2 linked regions of the Arabidopsis thaliana genome follow. The protein of the gene in region 2 interacts with the protein of the main gene of each other region in a pairwise test. Each region holds a gene or a part of one and is shown on either strand. Other genes may lie near its edges.

Region 1 (8,175 bases), on a different chromosome or scaffold from region 2:
TTCCCACAAATCTATCTTTCTGTTTAACTTCTCATACCTGCTTGTGTAATACATATGTGAGTGTAAATAACACACATAAATAAGTTTTTGTGAATTGAGACTACTTACCTTGCTTTGATCTTAGATAGTTCAGCTTTTTCCCAAGCATCAGCTGTAGAATCATCCTTTCGACTAGTATGCTCAGAACTCTGCCTTTTGGTTTCCCTAGGTGGAAGCCGCAGAGGCGAAGGTGATAGAAGAGGAGGAGGAGGTGGCGGTGGAGCACGAGGTTCTGATCGTGTCCTAAGCGGTGGTTGTATCCGTGGTGGTTCAGAAACCGGTTTTCTTTGTCTTTCATGTTTCTCCTCTGAATCTTGATTCTGTTTGGTGTGGTCTCCCATCAAGTTCATGGAGAAAGTCTTTTTTACCGAAGATGACTTTCTCATTGGGGACTTTAGTGTAGGAGGTTTATGATCTTTCGTCTCTGAATCTATAAACGAAAGTTGCCCTGTGTCAACACAAAAACGTAAACTGATTTCAGAAAACATTTTCAGTTGAATAACAAAATCTGATCTTGAGTTATTCTGTAACCTCACCTGAGAATCTTCTTGATAAGCTTCTTGGTTCCTCTAAAGGCAACAGTTCTTCACTTCTGCTCTTGCTCCTTGACGAAGAAGGTCCAAGTTCAAGGCCACTCTGTTTTGTTTTACAATTTCAAACCACAACAAACTCAAATTACGAGAAAATGTTTACTCTAACAAAAACTCTGTTTTTAAAAACCGTTACATGATAGTTCTCTAGCCAAGTTTCTTCAAAAGTGGCTATGGCATAGGCAGTGGCTGCAACTGCAGCTGCATGATCCATTTCTCCGATGGGATCATAACTTTGGCCACTCATTTGCCTCGAGAACTGCTTCTGTAACCAGTTTGAAGGCTTCTTCTTATCTACCAACACACATGATATGATAATGTGAAATTAATCAAGCATCAAAGATTGATAGGCTATTAAGAACAACAGAGCAGAATTTTGTGGCACCTTCTTTGAATGAAACAGACTTCCTTGCTGACACTTTTTTCTCTCTAGTTGAGCTACCAACCTCTCTAATTTTTTCCTGGGAAGCTGGATGCTTCCTCCTGAGACAAAGATAACAACATTTTACATCAATATATGTATATGTGGCTGAATAGAAAATCTGAATTTGGAGATTTAGTGAATTACCTTGTCTGCTTGATTAAGGTATCCATTTTCAAACTAAAATATGGTGGGAGGACTTGAGAAGATGTGTTTGAGGGTTTTGGTTTTTTAAGGGTTTTTGAGATTATTGCTTTGCATGCAAGTTTCATATTTGGATCATAAAGATGTGCAGGTAAAGTAAAGAACACTTTTTCTATTCTTCTCCCTCTTCAGCTTTTTGGTTCTTTGCTTTCTCAAAACGACAGTGAAAAGAACAAACCAGATTCCTTTTATATTCAATTTTCATACATGGATAAGGAATCTTTTACATTCAGAAAACACATCAACTACAATCTCGCTTTAACAGAGAAAATGAATCTTAAATAACCAGTTAACACTGCCAAATTCCTATCTGTAAATGAAACAAAGTTGTGCTATACATAACTAAACAAGGAAGTCTGTGTCAGAAAGTTCGAGGACCTTATGTGCACCAATCGCCTTCACGTCTGATTTGAAAGCATTCCCTTCTATGTACCTGCCACATACATGATACATCCCATCAAGAATTAAATTAGAACATGTGTGTTATATATCGTCTTACACAATGAGACCTTAGAGAGCTTATGAACATACATATCTTTTAGGTTTGGATGCTTGTAGAAGGCTTCAGGTATACTTCCATTGAATAGATTGTGGTCCAAGTGCCTGAAGTTAAATCAAAACATGCTCTAAGGATGCAGAAGAACATATAGGTCGTTTTTCAGATCAGTTCTTAGTTATGTATTTAGTAGAGGAGAGAGGCCTACAAGTTAGTTAGTCTTGGTATACTGGCAAGTGCAGCGGGTATTGCTCCAGTCATTTTGTTGAAAGATAAGTACCTAAACATAAAAAAGATAAGATAGGGAGAGAAAAAACATGTAAATGATGTTAATAAATCAAAAGAAGTGATCAAGTACTCACAAGATCTCCAGGTTTGTTAGATTTGCAAGCTTGTTTGGGAGTCCTCCAGTCAAGTAATTATTGTTTAAAAACCTACAGCCAAAAGTGAGCTTAGACAAAATACTACTTTTGATGGCTAACTCTTAAACTCACTTACAGGTTTCTAAGAGCTGGAAAGCATCCTTCAATGCGAAAAAGATCGCTTATACTCCCCACTAAGTTATTGTTGCCAGCATCCCTACAGATTCATGACAGAGATATTAAGCATATCTGAAGTCAGTTGCTTGATCATGATCTACAATAAAGAGCACTGAATGTCAAAGATTACAAGTGGCGAAGTTTTTGTAATGTTCCCAGCTCTGCTGGAATTCGCCCAGTAAAATGATTCTCCTGAATATGTAAGTACTGGAGCTCATGGAGATTTGCAAGTTCTTTGGGGATTTCTCCTTTGAAATTGTTAAAACTCAGGTACCTGCAATATTAAGAGCATGTTACAGAGCCACAAGAAAACCCCTTCAACCATCCTGAAATGAGCTAGGATTACTCACAGATAAGTTAGACTCTTCAATCCACCAATTTCAGGAGGCAGTGCCTGTTGAAGTTTGTTCCACCTCAAATTCCTACGAAACCAAACAAGATCAAGACAAAGCAAGTAGCCAAACTGAATTCCTCAAGTTGAAGAGTATTACAGTGTGATAAGCCGCTTAAGCCGCCCAATTTCTGGAGGAATAGGACCTGTTAATTTGTTATTATGCATATCCCTGCCAACCATAATCCAAATTCATTTAAACAATCAATCATACACTCAGCAATAAAATTGTTTCCATCAAAATTAACAAGAACCCAAAAGTTTTCAACTTTTCAACAACATTGCAAAGTCAGTGAAACTTACAAAACAGTGAGATCTAAGAGCTTCGTTATAGCCTTTGGGAAATTCCCAACTATCGACATTGAATACACTTCTCTGCAAAAAAGATCACAAACCATTTTTAAGTGAAAAATCAATTCAAAGCCTCAAACTTTAAGAGAATGAGAGTCAAAAGATTACAGCTTGACGACGACACGATAATCGCCAACTTTAGAGCAAGTAACTCCAGACCACGGAGGCAAAACTCCATCGCCACAAGGATCATCTCCAACCCAAGAGTATACCAATCTCCATCCCACCAATTTCTTTATCTCATTCAAAGCTTTCACTGCCAAAACCAAAAACTCAAATCAGAAAAAGCAAAAACCCGACTAAAAATCACAAATTTGGAAGAGCTTACTGTCTCGTTTAAGTGTTTTAGCGAAGGAGACATTGAACAGCAACAAAAGAGCGTAAATCCGGAGGATTAGATACAAGCTCAAACTCAAATTCGCCATCGATTATGCTGCGAGCTTAAGAAATCATGAACTCTTCATGGGTTTAAGAAGAAGAGAAGAATCAATTTTATAAAATCGGAAAGTGAAATTGTGTGTGAGGAAGAAGAAGAATTATTTATCATCGCCATGGAAGAAAGCAAGCTCAGTGGAAACTAAACTAACCAAAAACAGTTCAAATTCCAACAATATTTTAATATATTAAATAGACCGAGTAAGGCCCATAATATTGGGCTTAGATAGGCCCATATATAAGAAGGTGATACGTCATAAATCAATATTGGTTTTAAAAATAGCTAACCAATCATAACGAACGGTAGAAACGTCGTCGTTTAAACAACTGTTTATATATCTTCCATCTCCGGTGTTCCGGCAACATTTATTCTTACGTTCCTCCGTCGCCATGATCGTTAATTTCTCTTTCTTCCTCCTTCTCTTCGTCTCCGTCTTCGTTTCCTCTGCTGATTCTAAAGCGACCATTTCAATTTCCCCTAATGCTCTCAATCGATCTGGCGATTCCGTTGTGATACAATGGTCCGGTGTCGATTCTCCGTCAGATCTCGATTGGTTAGGACTCTACTCGCCGCCGGAGTCTCCTAATGATCACTTTATTGGTTACAAATTCCTCAATGAATCGTCCACTTGGAAAGATGGTTTCGGTTCGATTTCTCTTCCTTTAACCAATCTCCGATCAAATTACACATTCCGGATCTTCCGTTGGAGCGAATCCGAGATTGATCCGAAACATAAGGATCATGATCAGAATCCTTTACCAGGAACTAAACATCTTCTAGCTGAATCGGAGCAGCTGACTTTCGGATCCGGTGTTGGTATGCCGGAGCAGATCCATTTGTCGTTCACAAATATGGTTAACACGATGCGTGTTATGTTTGTAGCTGGAGATGGTGAAGAACGTTTTGTTAGATACGGTGAATCGAAGGATTTGTTAGGTAATTCCGCGGCGGCGCGTGGGATGAGGTACGAGAGAGAGCACATGTGTGATTCGCCGGCGAATTCCACTATTGGTTGGAGAGATCCTGGTTGGATTTTTGATACCGTCATGAAGAATTTGAATGATGGCGTTAGATACTATTATCAGGTAATATAAAGTCTCGATTTTGAAGCTTATGCATGATAGATTTGGGAGAAATATGTTTTGATTGATCAAATTTATGATTCTATGAATTAGGTTGGGAGTGATTCTAAGGGATGGAGTGAGATCCATAGCTACATTGCTCGAGATGTGACTGCAGAAGAAACCGTAGCTTTCATGTTTGGAGATATGGGTTGTGCTACACCATACACGACATTTATCCGCACACAAGATGAGAGCATATCTACAGTGAAGTGGATCCTCCGTGACATTGAAGCTCTTGGTGATAAGCCAGCTATGATTTCACACATTGGAGATATAAGTTATGCTCGTGGTTACTCGTGGGTATGGGATGAGTTCTTTGCTCAGGTTGAGCCTATTGCCTCGACAGTTCCTTACCATGTTTGCATTGGTAACCATGAGTATGATTTCTCTACTCAGCCGTGGAAACCTGATTGGGCAGCTTCTATTTATGGAAACGATGGTGGTGGCGAATGTGGTGTGCCGTATAGCTTGAAGTTTAACATGCCTGGGAATTCTTCAGAGTCTACAGGAATGAAAGCTCCTCCGACAAGGAATTTATATTATTCTTATGATATGGGAACGGTCCATTTCGTTTATATCTCCACAGAGACGAATTTTCTTAAAGGAGGTAGTCAATATGAATTCATAAAGCGAGATCTAGAGTCTGTAGACAGGAAGAAAACACCGTTTGTTGTTGTGCAAGGACATAGACCAATGTACACTACGAGCAACGAGGTTAGAGACACTATGATTCGACAAAAGATGGTTGAGCATCTAGAACCTTTGTTTGTGAAAAACAATGTCACACTTGCTCTATGGGGACATGTTCATAGATACGAAAGGTTTTGTCCCATAAGCAACAACACTTGCGGCACACAGTGGCAAGGAAATCCGGTTCATCTTGTGATCGGTATGGCTGGTCAAGATTGGCAACCGATTTGGCAGCCTAGACCAAACCATCCAGATCTTCCTATATTCCCTCAGCCTGAACAATCAATGTATCGTACAGGTGAGTTTGGTTACACTCGTTTAGTTGCAAACAAAGAAAAGCTCACTGTTTCTTTTGTGGGTAATCACGATGGCGAAGTTCATGATACTGTTGAGATGTTAGCATCTGGGGTAGTAATCAGTGGGAGCAAAGAGAGTACTAAAATCCCAAATCTGAAAACCGTTCCTGCTTCTGCTACACTTATGGGAAAATCAGAATCTAATGCTTTGTGGTATGCCAAAGGAGCAGGCTTGATGGTTGTGGGTGTGCTTTTAGGGTTCATTATCGGGTTTTTTACCCGGGGAAAGAAATCTTCGTCTGGAAACCGTTGGATCCCAGTCAAGAACGAGGAGACATAATCACATAATGTTGAACTGAGTCTATTATTTAGAGGCACGATTTGTATAGTATCCTTTTTTTCCCACGGTAAGAACCATGTTTCTTTACAACTACAGCTGGGAAGATATATAACATAAGTTTTTGTGCACTATAATAATAGTGATTCTTGTTACATAGTATGATTCATGTGTTTTTTTTTGAAGAATTTGCTGTAATTACAGATTGAAGAAGTTTTGCTGTAATTACATTATGTAGTGTATGAGAGTATATATACATTCAACAATTGTAGAGGCTAATCAATCGAGCATTGGAATGTTGATTATGCCAAAGCATAAGTGTAACCAATTATAGTATGGATTTGATGTTTTCTATTTTTGTTTGGTTATATGCTTTTTGAATATCAAAAGGTAAATTAGATTAATTTATTTGGATCGGTTTGATTTAGATTGGATCAATTCAATATATTAGGATTAAACACTCATGGAATATTGTCTGGAAAATTTAAGCTTGAGAAAAAAAATTGAATCAAATGCGTTAATATTGACAATTTTCATAGCAAAGAATGAATAAAGAAGAAAATCACAACTGTTCAAACGTAAAAAAAAGAAGAGAGAATGATACAATATAATATACATATAAGAACAATGGTATTTTGTGGAAGGTGTTTTCTTATTTGGAAAGCAAGTGACGTGCCCGTTGATTAGCTCCTTGAACACGAGAGTTAAGCTCATCAACATCGTCGCCGAGATGATCAAGAGCTTTGTTTTGCCTGCAAATTTGCCCCCAACAATAGTAAGTATTCTACAAACATAAGCATAAAATGTATGAAAGTATGTATTTGTGTTATCTGACTTGTCGATCTCAGATCCCATATCAACGGCCATGCTCTTAAGATCACCCAATATGTCACTTAAATCTGAAAGTCCATCGTCTTGCTTTGCCTTCTCTTGCTGCATTAAACATACACCTTTTAATACGTATTCTTAATAAAGAAAGCATATAAGATGCAAAAACTTGTAAAAAGAACACAAACCTCAACTTTCTGCAACGCATTTGTTGGTTGATCTAATGCTGGTTGACTGCTCGATCGTCCTTTTGCACCCAAACCAAGTTTCTCCCGCTCTTCCTTGTGATTCTCGCTCTTCTTCGACGGTTTATCTAAAATTTCGATAACTATATTAAACATGACCACCATACACATGATCAAGAGTCCTAACAACGTGAATACAATAAGGATTGAGATTATATGAGTTATTAACGGGCTAGGTATGAATCAACCCTTCTCTAAGATATTATAAGATACATGATCATCATAACATTATTTTATCCAATCAATATCAAGAGCTCGGAAGCTTTAAAACCTGGTGTGATCATAGGTCCTGTGATATTTTTAGTCTTCTTTGGTTTCCATGGCTTTGAAAACATTCCTCCTAAGTTGTTCAAAAGCTTCTCCCCCTGATCTCACAAACATTTTTTCTTATCAACGCTCCATAAAACAGAACATATAATTTCACATTTTCGTATCGAAGAAAGTAAGAAAAATTAAAAAAAGTTTTACCCGACTGAGATCTTTATCCATATCAACAGCCATTTCATGAGTCCTGTTGATTTGTTCACCTTGCTGATGCAACATTTCGAGCGTTCTTGCACCATCTGATCTTATATCTTCAGCGATCTTAAGACAATTATTAACACCTTTGGTTGTTTCTTCAGCTTTATAAACTGCATATTTTTCTAATTCTTCTGTCGTTTGGCTCTGCAGACCACCAGAATCGTTGAAACCGTTCTTGTATTTGTCGTCATCGTCGAAATCTGGTGTTATCAGGATTGGTTCTGAAGAAGTCCTTCTTCCTGCAGTGATTGTTCCTCCTTTGTTGTTTGATGATTCATTGGGAAGTTTATTGTTCCCCGGAGATTTGAAAAACCCAAACATCTATGTAACAATGAGGTGATGATGATTATCGATTAAACTGATAAAAAAGATTGAATCAGGAAGAAATAGAATTTGATGGGTTGGTTACCTGTGAAATCTCAAAGATTAGAAAAAAAAAGATTATAATCAAGAAAACTTCAGGGATTAGAAAAAAGAAAATGGTTATCCAAAAATAGAAACCTGTGACAGAGATATGTAATAACGTCCTATGCTTCTCCCTATTTTGGGACCGTTAAGAGTGTAATAACCAAACACTGTTTCAGAGAGAAGGCTTATGTCTTAACATGTTTAATGGAGAAATGTCAAGACCCATATTAATTTCGTTTTGCTTGTGCATATAGGAAG
Region 2 (6,814 bases):
AATTGGAAGAGAAAGAGAGAGAAACTTAAATTAAATCCATTTATGATTATTAAATCCAATATTCTTCAAATAAAAAAATCAACACGAAGAACGAGTAAAACTAATGAGTTAAAGAAAATAATTACGGTAGATTTAGCCGTTTATCCACGTTGTGTAACTCGCTTTTACTGCAAATATTCAAATAAAGTTTTATAAAAATCTCAATATTCAATAGAATTGAGTAATTAAGATATAAAATAAATAAAATTGCTACTTTAGTTGTTGTAATTTGTAAACTGAACAAAACGGCTGTATTATTTTTTCTACCGACATAAATGTCGATTCTTTGTTTTCTTTGACGTTGTTAAGCGAAATAAATATAACGGTAATTACATATGCAAACATAAATTACTTTGAGAAGGTTGCATGTCGTGGATAGTAGATTGTCATATATGATGAGTGGTTAGGTGAAGTTTTCTAATACTATATGATAAAGATTTTTTAAAAAAATAAAGTACTTGATAAATCATCTACGATGTTAGATAGCTGTTAAATGTAGAGAATTTAATAGTGAAACACGGAACTTGTGATACATATATAGAAGAGAAGTAAACAAACACTTTATGCCTTTATTTGAAATCAAATGACAAATGTGAAACAATCAAAGTAGATGAAGCGACTACCAACTATTCTTCTCTTTTTACAGTTTACATGGAACAGTTTTATTTTTCCTTAGATAATTTTTTACATGAAAGTTGAAATATTGAAGCAGAGAGAATTTTATATTGTTTTTTTAGCACAATATTTTGCATAGATTGAATCCAAAACCTCGGAAGTCTAATTGTATAGGAGTATGTATTTGTCTAGAGACAAAATATGTAACAACATTATAAATATATCTAGCTTTGCTTTGAAAATTGGATTCCGATCGGATTCCGTGATTTGTTTTCTGGTGTTTGATGTTTGACTATAACTTGAGACAACAAAAACAGTAGTTTGGCTTTGGACATAAGCTAAGTATGTATGTACCAAATGTATTACATGCGCGTTGATCTATAAGGAAAAACTCAAAAACACTTTAGTACTTTAAATTATGTCATGGAAATTAATATTTGAACTACAAAGTTTTACTTGTAATTGACTTCTTGTAACGAAGCCAAGCAAATTTCAGTAATATATTCGAAACCTAATTCATTCATTACTGCTCAAAATCAGTATTAAGTCAAACATAGCGGTTGTAATTGGTCACCCGAAAGTAATAATCACATGGGAATGCTAACGTCTAGATTATCAATAAAAAATGTCAATTACTTCCTGAACTTTTATTTCTGAAACATATTTAACGAATGTATGAAAAAACAAAGTTTGGAAGCTCTTAAAGTCTGAAAAAACAAATGTCAGTGAGCACGTGAGATTTGTCATAAAAATTGTCGATGATGAATCTGCAGAAGGATTAGGTTATGGACCGACGATAAATGTTTAGCCATTTATGCTATAAATTTTACTTCATTTTTTTTTTGGTGTGAATTTCAGAGAAGGCATACCAAACAACCTCGTAAGAACATTTAAACATATGAAATGCCATCGATTTCTTTCTAAGAAATCACATATAATTTAAATCGACGTTGTTATAATCTCTCGATTTACTCCATGTAGAAAAATTTCCTTGAGAAATGATCACATGAACAAGCACATCTTCTGCTCCCACAATATTGCTTTTTTGACACATATTTCCTTATATTTATGAATAGAACCCGTATATTTTCAGAAATGTGATACGAAAACTCTTCAATGAATTATATAGCCCAACCCATAACTTTGGGCTTTCACGTATTAATGGACCCTTCTTGCGTGCGACTCACGTGTGAATACTGCAAGACACGTGGCTTCTCTATTCAACGCGCAAATCAGTTACGTGTACAATTTATCCGCCTCCTTCGGATCCGAATCAGCTTCCTGATTTATTTCCCGTCATTACCCAAATTCGCCGGCAATGTTGTAAAAATCCCTAATCCAAAACTATTTCGTGGATTTTAGGGAAAAAAGAGAATTCGAACAAGGTCGTCGTCGTCGTCGGATTTGTAGATCATCATGGAGTTCTCTTTGATCGCAGATACAGTCACAGTTTGCACGGCTAAGCAAGGTATCGCGTTTGGGAAATCTCTTCTTCAAAGGTTGGATTTGGCCAATCACATTTCTTTCGCCGATTCCGTTGTTGATCATCAATCTCCCGGTGGAGGAATCGTTCAAGCATCGGCGATTATTTTCCCCGTCGATGCAATTGCTCCTCCACCGGTCAGATCTAGCTCTTATAAGACAATTCGCCGGATCCGTAAAAAGCGACGAACCAGGCGAGTTTCGTTTGGTGGAGATGGAGATGACGCAGGAGATTTTGGTCGTTTTCTGTTAGAAGGTGATTTCGGTGGTAGCGACGGTCCATTTGGATTTGGAGGCGGAGGAAACGATGGAGGCGGAAAGGGATGGAACTACGGCGGCGGCGGCGGTGGTTTCGGGAGGGATAATTGGGATGGGTCTTCGTTTTCGTCTTGGTCAGATCCAGCGATGGAATTTGTGTATGAAGTGATTTGCTGGATCGCGTTGTCTAATTGTGTGCACTTTGCGTTCAAGAGGATAGTGAGGATCGTGACCGACGGTGAAAGGGAGAAGTTGAACATTGCATTATCTCCGGTATGCTGACAAATTCGTGGTCGTGGTGATGATTCCTGGTTAAAAGTATTCTTAATCTCGGTTCCAATTACATCATATGATCTCTCGTGTGTATATATATTACATTGTACATATTTATTTAATTTCTCCTTCGCAAGTTCACATTAGATTTTTATAATTTGTTCTGTTTAGAGTAGTGTTTAGTCATCATTAGAGACATGAATGATGATTGATTTGTTTGATTAAGTGGATAAAAACTGAAAAGTCTCTCACATGAGTGTTTAAGACAAGCATGTAAATACCATAATCCTAATAAACTCCATCCATTACATAATGCATTGTTCATGTTTAATATTAAGCACTGGGCTTGTTGAACTCTCCCGGATTTACTGGAGAATGAAGACCCATGGATGGCTCTCTCCTCTCAACCTGCATTGTCTCACGGCGCCTATCATACCTTGGCCTAGGACGGGGTCTAGTATGACGCTGTTCCGTGAACCTGTACTGTGGTCTGGGTATGACCTTTCCTTCAACGTACAAGTCACCTGAACATGAGAGCCAAAGACAGATGGTATCAGTATTAAGAACCATATCTCAGTACCCAATCATTCAGACAAAATCTACAAACGTTACACACCTCCGTAGTCTTTGTTTGGTACATCGAGATAGGAATCCGGCAGCACCCAGAGAACACCAGGCAATGCTAATGAATCACACAACTCTAGATCAGATTTCTCAAACAGTAAAATATGTTCTCATTTTATAGTACTAGAGACAGACAATAACTGCGATAAAACAAAGATCAAGAGAAGTTTCCTCCTAGCTGTTGAACAGAGCAGTACCAAACAGAGAAAGCCTTTTACGATAAATCTCAACATCATAAGTAAACAACTAGAAAAGCTATGTCAGAGCAAAAAAGGCTTAAAAACCTAATTGCAAATATGGAGAAGTTGATACCTTTGACTTTGCAAGAGAGCTCTTCAGAGATCAAAGCACCAAAGCCAGTGTAGGTCGAAGTACAAACAGAGTAAATCTTCTTCTTGGCCTCTTCCTCACTATAGTTTAACCATTATTACCCACAAAATGCAAATCCGTCAATCCCCAAATGCACAAGAAAACATTTGAGAGTCAAAATCAAATGAAAAGGAACTTGCCAGCCAAGGACGGAAGTTAAGGTTTTGACATAAGAATTGATCATCTCTTCTTCAGTAGGTTTAGGATCAGTGAACTCCATGACGATGAGCCAGTGCTCATAATCGCACCCATCAAGAAGAATCGTCTCCTTCGGCGGACGGTTGCTCCAATTCGGCGAAGGATCATTCAGCGGCGAGTATCCGGACCCGGATGTCTTGGGTCGGGTCGAGATGTAACACGGGCCCAGGCTGGTTCGGGAAGAGGAAACCTTTTCAATTAGAGGCATGGCGAATCGAGAACGAGAAGAGAGCGTAGGAAATGAAGAAGAATATGAAGTAGAGGAAGAGAGGGTTTTGTTTAGGAGTGTCGATAATGTTCGCCGTGTGCTGATAAGAGCCATCGCCGGTGAGGGTTTCGGCTTCTGTTCTTCTTCGGTCCTTCTCTTTGCAGAAGCTTTGAGAAACTATATGGGCTTAGTGGGCCTTTGATTTATACTTTTTAGATGGGCTATTAAAAAATTTCTCTACATTAAATTCCTTAGTTTAGTAGTTAAAAGTTTCCCAACAGAAAAATACTTTAAATCTTCTTGTCAAATACTTCAACACTCCTAATTGAAACACTTTCAGTGTTAAAAAAATGTTTCAATTATCGCTTGTCAAATTGTTTGTTCATTCTTAAGTGTTTTCAGAAAGAAAATTTCGTCCTCGTTAGCTATAAAACGTATTCATTTTGTATTAGCTTTCTTAATGTGAATATGACGTCCTAAGTCAAATCACCTAATCTAAAATTTTGATTTGAGTTAGCAAAATGTCCATCAAGTTAATTCATGGATAACTTTTCCAACCTATATATGGTTAGTAATTAGTAATTATCTTTGGCTTTTTTTGGATGCATATAAAATCACAATGACGATAATAACGATGATTATCAAAATCAAAATGGTTACTGTATTTACTATTTATAAAAAAAGAAAACATAGAATTATCTCTCCAAAAATAAGAAAAGTAGATAAACATTTCTGAAATTGCTGTAAGGTCAAAAGTAAAAAGAAAATTATCCAAAAGAAAGGTTATGCGACTTTCCGTAAATGGAATTGTTGGTATGAATGCGTGTATTTGTGTTTTAGAGAGCTATTCTTGTTGATGAATCTCTGAGGAGCAGAGCGAGATAGAGGAGAGTGAAGGAACATCATGGGAAGCAGCACGGGCGATCTTGTGACACGTATCCAATCAGCTCACCGTTTCGATCACGATGCCTTGTTTCGTTTTGCCGCCGACAACGTCTCTGGCTTTCCGACCAACCCTTCCCAATTCAAAGTCTCACAGGTATGTTTTCCAATCGCCGAGGTTTTTTCTCCGGTAAGAAAGAAACTTTTATCTGACTGTGTTTTGTTTTGGTTTGGTTTACATACAGTTCGGACATGGGCAGTCGAATCCAACGTTTCTGATAGAGGTTGGCTCAGGGAGTTCCTTGAAACGATACGTTTTGAGGAAGAAGCCTCCTGGCAAGCTTCTTCAATCTGCTCATGCTGTTGATCGAGAGTTTCAGGTATCAATCAATTAATAATCTTTACCTCTGTAAAATTCATTGTAACTGTTCATACTCGATTTTTGAAGAAGATGAAATTTTGTTGTTTCTAGTACCGTTTTGAAATGCAGAATCATTGTAACTTTTTGTGATGCTGCTTATAAGAGATACGGTATCAACTAAAGGTAGATGCTTTTTTTGCTTAATACTTTGATGGTGGTTGGTTTATGTAGGTGCTTCGGGCTTTAGGTGAACATACACAGGTTCCTGTTCCTAAAGTCTTCTGCTTATGCACTGACCCTGCTGTCATTGGGACTGCTTTTTACATTATGGAGTTTATGGAAGGACGTATTTTCATTGATCCAAAGTTGCCGGTAAGATATTCTCTGTTATGTGAATGTGTATGTACGGTTTTTTTAGCTTGAGATGTGACTCATTGTAAACGAAAGGTGTAAATTTGTGTGTGTTTCATCGGTTTTGATTTAGAATGTAGCACCTGAAAGGAGAAATGCGATCTATCGTGCAACCGCCAAAGCCTTGGCATCTCTTCACTCTGCTGATGTGGATGCCATTGGTCTTGAGAAATATGGTCGGCGAGGCAATTACTGCAAAAGACAGGTTTGTTCTTTATTTGGGGCTGGTGAATTTCCAAATCACTACTCACTAGTTTGATGTTCTCTTAATGCTTATATGCTCTTGCTAAAGTTTTTTCTTTTGGATACCTCCATTTCAGATAGATAGGTGGTTCAAACAATATTTGGCTTCAACAAGTGAAGGTAAACCTGAAAGGAATCCAAAGATGTTTGAGCTTGTTGATTGGTTACGCAAAAACATCCCCGCGGAAGATTCAACTGGAGCAACATCAGGCCTTGTCCATGGAGACTTTCGCATTGACAATCTCGTTTTTCATCCTTCTGAGGTCTTAATACTTTCAAGATCTTTTGTTTTCTGATCCTTGGATAGTCTCGGAGACTTAACTGAAAATATCTTAAACTGTAGGATCGAGTTATTGGAATAATTGACTGGGAATTGTCCACGCTTGGGAACCAAATGTGTGATGTTGCATACAGCTGCATGGTAATAACCTATTCTTGTTTGTTGTATTGTACTCATAAAGCAGTTTTCTTTGCTTCCTGCTCTGATATACAGTTCATTTGTGTTGGCAGCATTACATTGTGAATGTTCAGCTCGATAAGGAGCATGTTAGTGAAGGTTTTGAAACTACTGGGCTTCCAGAAGGAATGCTTTCGATGCCAGAATTTCTCTTAGAATACTGTTCTGCATCGGTATTGTCCTGCAACAACATGTAGTCTTTAAAAGGAATCAAGTCAGGTGTTCCTTGTACATTGCCTATATTTTCTCAATTTCTGTTGTAGTGACATATTGGCAAATGAACTTTAGGGAAAACCATGGCCTGCTGCAAACTGGAAGTTCTACGTAGCGTTCTCCTTATTTCGGGCTGCTTCAATCTACACAGGGGTGTACAGTAGATGGTTAATGGTATTCC

Evidence for each region.
Region 1: the proteins of MORF3 (region 2) and PAP2 interact in a two-hybrid assay, tested with the Arabidopsis thaliana proteins (one study listed by BioGRID).

The regions. Positions count from the first base shown.
Region 1 is NC_003070.9:4,751,236-4,759,410, reverse strand, and holds PAP2 (Purple acid phosphatases superfamily protein), read left to right. Parts: upstream 1-3,754; 5' UTR 3,755-3,856; coding exon 3,857-4,552; intron 4,553-4,642; coding exon 4,643-5,917; 3' UTR 5,918-6,312; downstream 6,313-8,175. Other genes in the region: AT1G13920 (Remorin family protein), read right to left, coding at 1-37, 109-487, 576-675, 766-923, 1,015-1,112, 1,198-1,322; AT1G13910 (Leucine-rich repeat (LRR) family protein), read right to left, coding at 1,597-1,687, 1,786-1,857, 1,959-2,030, 2,113-2,184, 2,249-2,329, 2,420-2,563, 2,640-2,711, 2,781-2,852 and 3 more; SNAP30 (soluble N-ethylmaleimide-sensitive factor adaptor protein 30), read right to left, coding at 6,567-6,666, 6,750-6,847, 6,931-7,055, 7,259-7,352, 7,456-7,830.
Region 2 is NC_003074.8:2,141,564-2,148,377, forward strand, and holds MORF3 (plastid developmental protein DAG), read right to left. Parts: upstream 4,245-6,814; 5' UTR 4,181-4,244; coding exon 3,801-4,180; coding exon of another isoform or gene 3,797-3,800; intron 3,702-3,796; coding exon 3,604-3,701; intron 3,350-3,603; coding exon 3,284-3,349; intron 3,192-3,283; coding exon 3,001-3,191; 3' UTR 2,821-3,000; downstream 1-2,820. Other genes in the region: AT3G06780 (glycine-rich protein), read left to right, coding at 2,071-2,676; IBR3 (acyl-CoA dehydrogenase-like protein), read left to right, coding at 4,971-5,105, 5,194-5,328, 5,541-5,681, 5,794-5,925, 6,041-6,226, 6,307-6,384, 6,474-6,593, 6,709-6,807. UniProt on the Arabidopsis thaliana protein: Involved in organellar RNA editing. Required for the processing of RNA editing sites in mitochondria.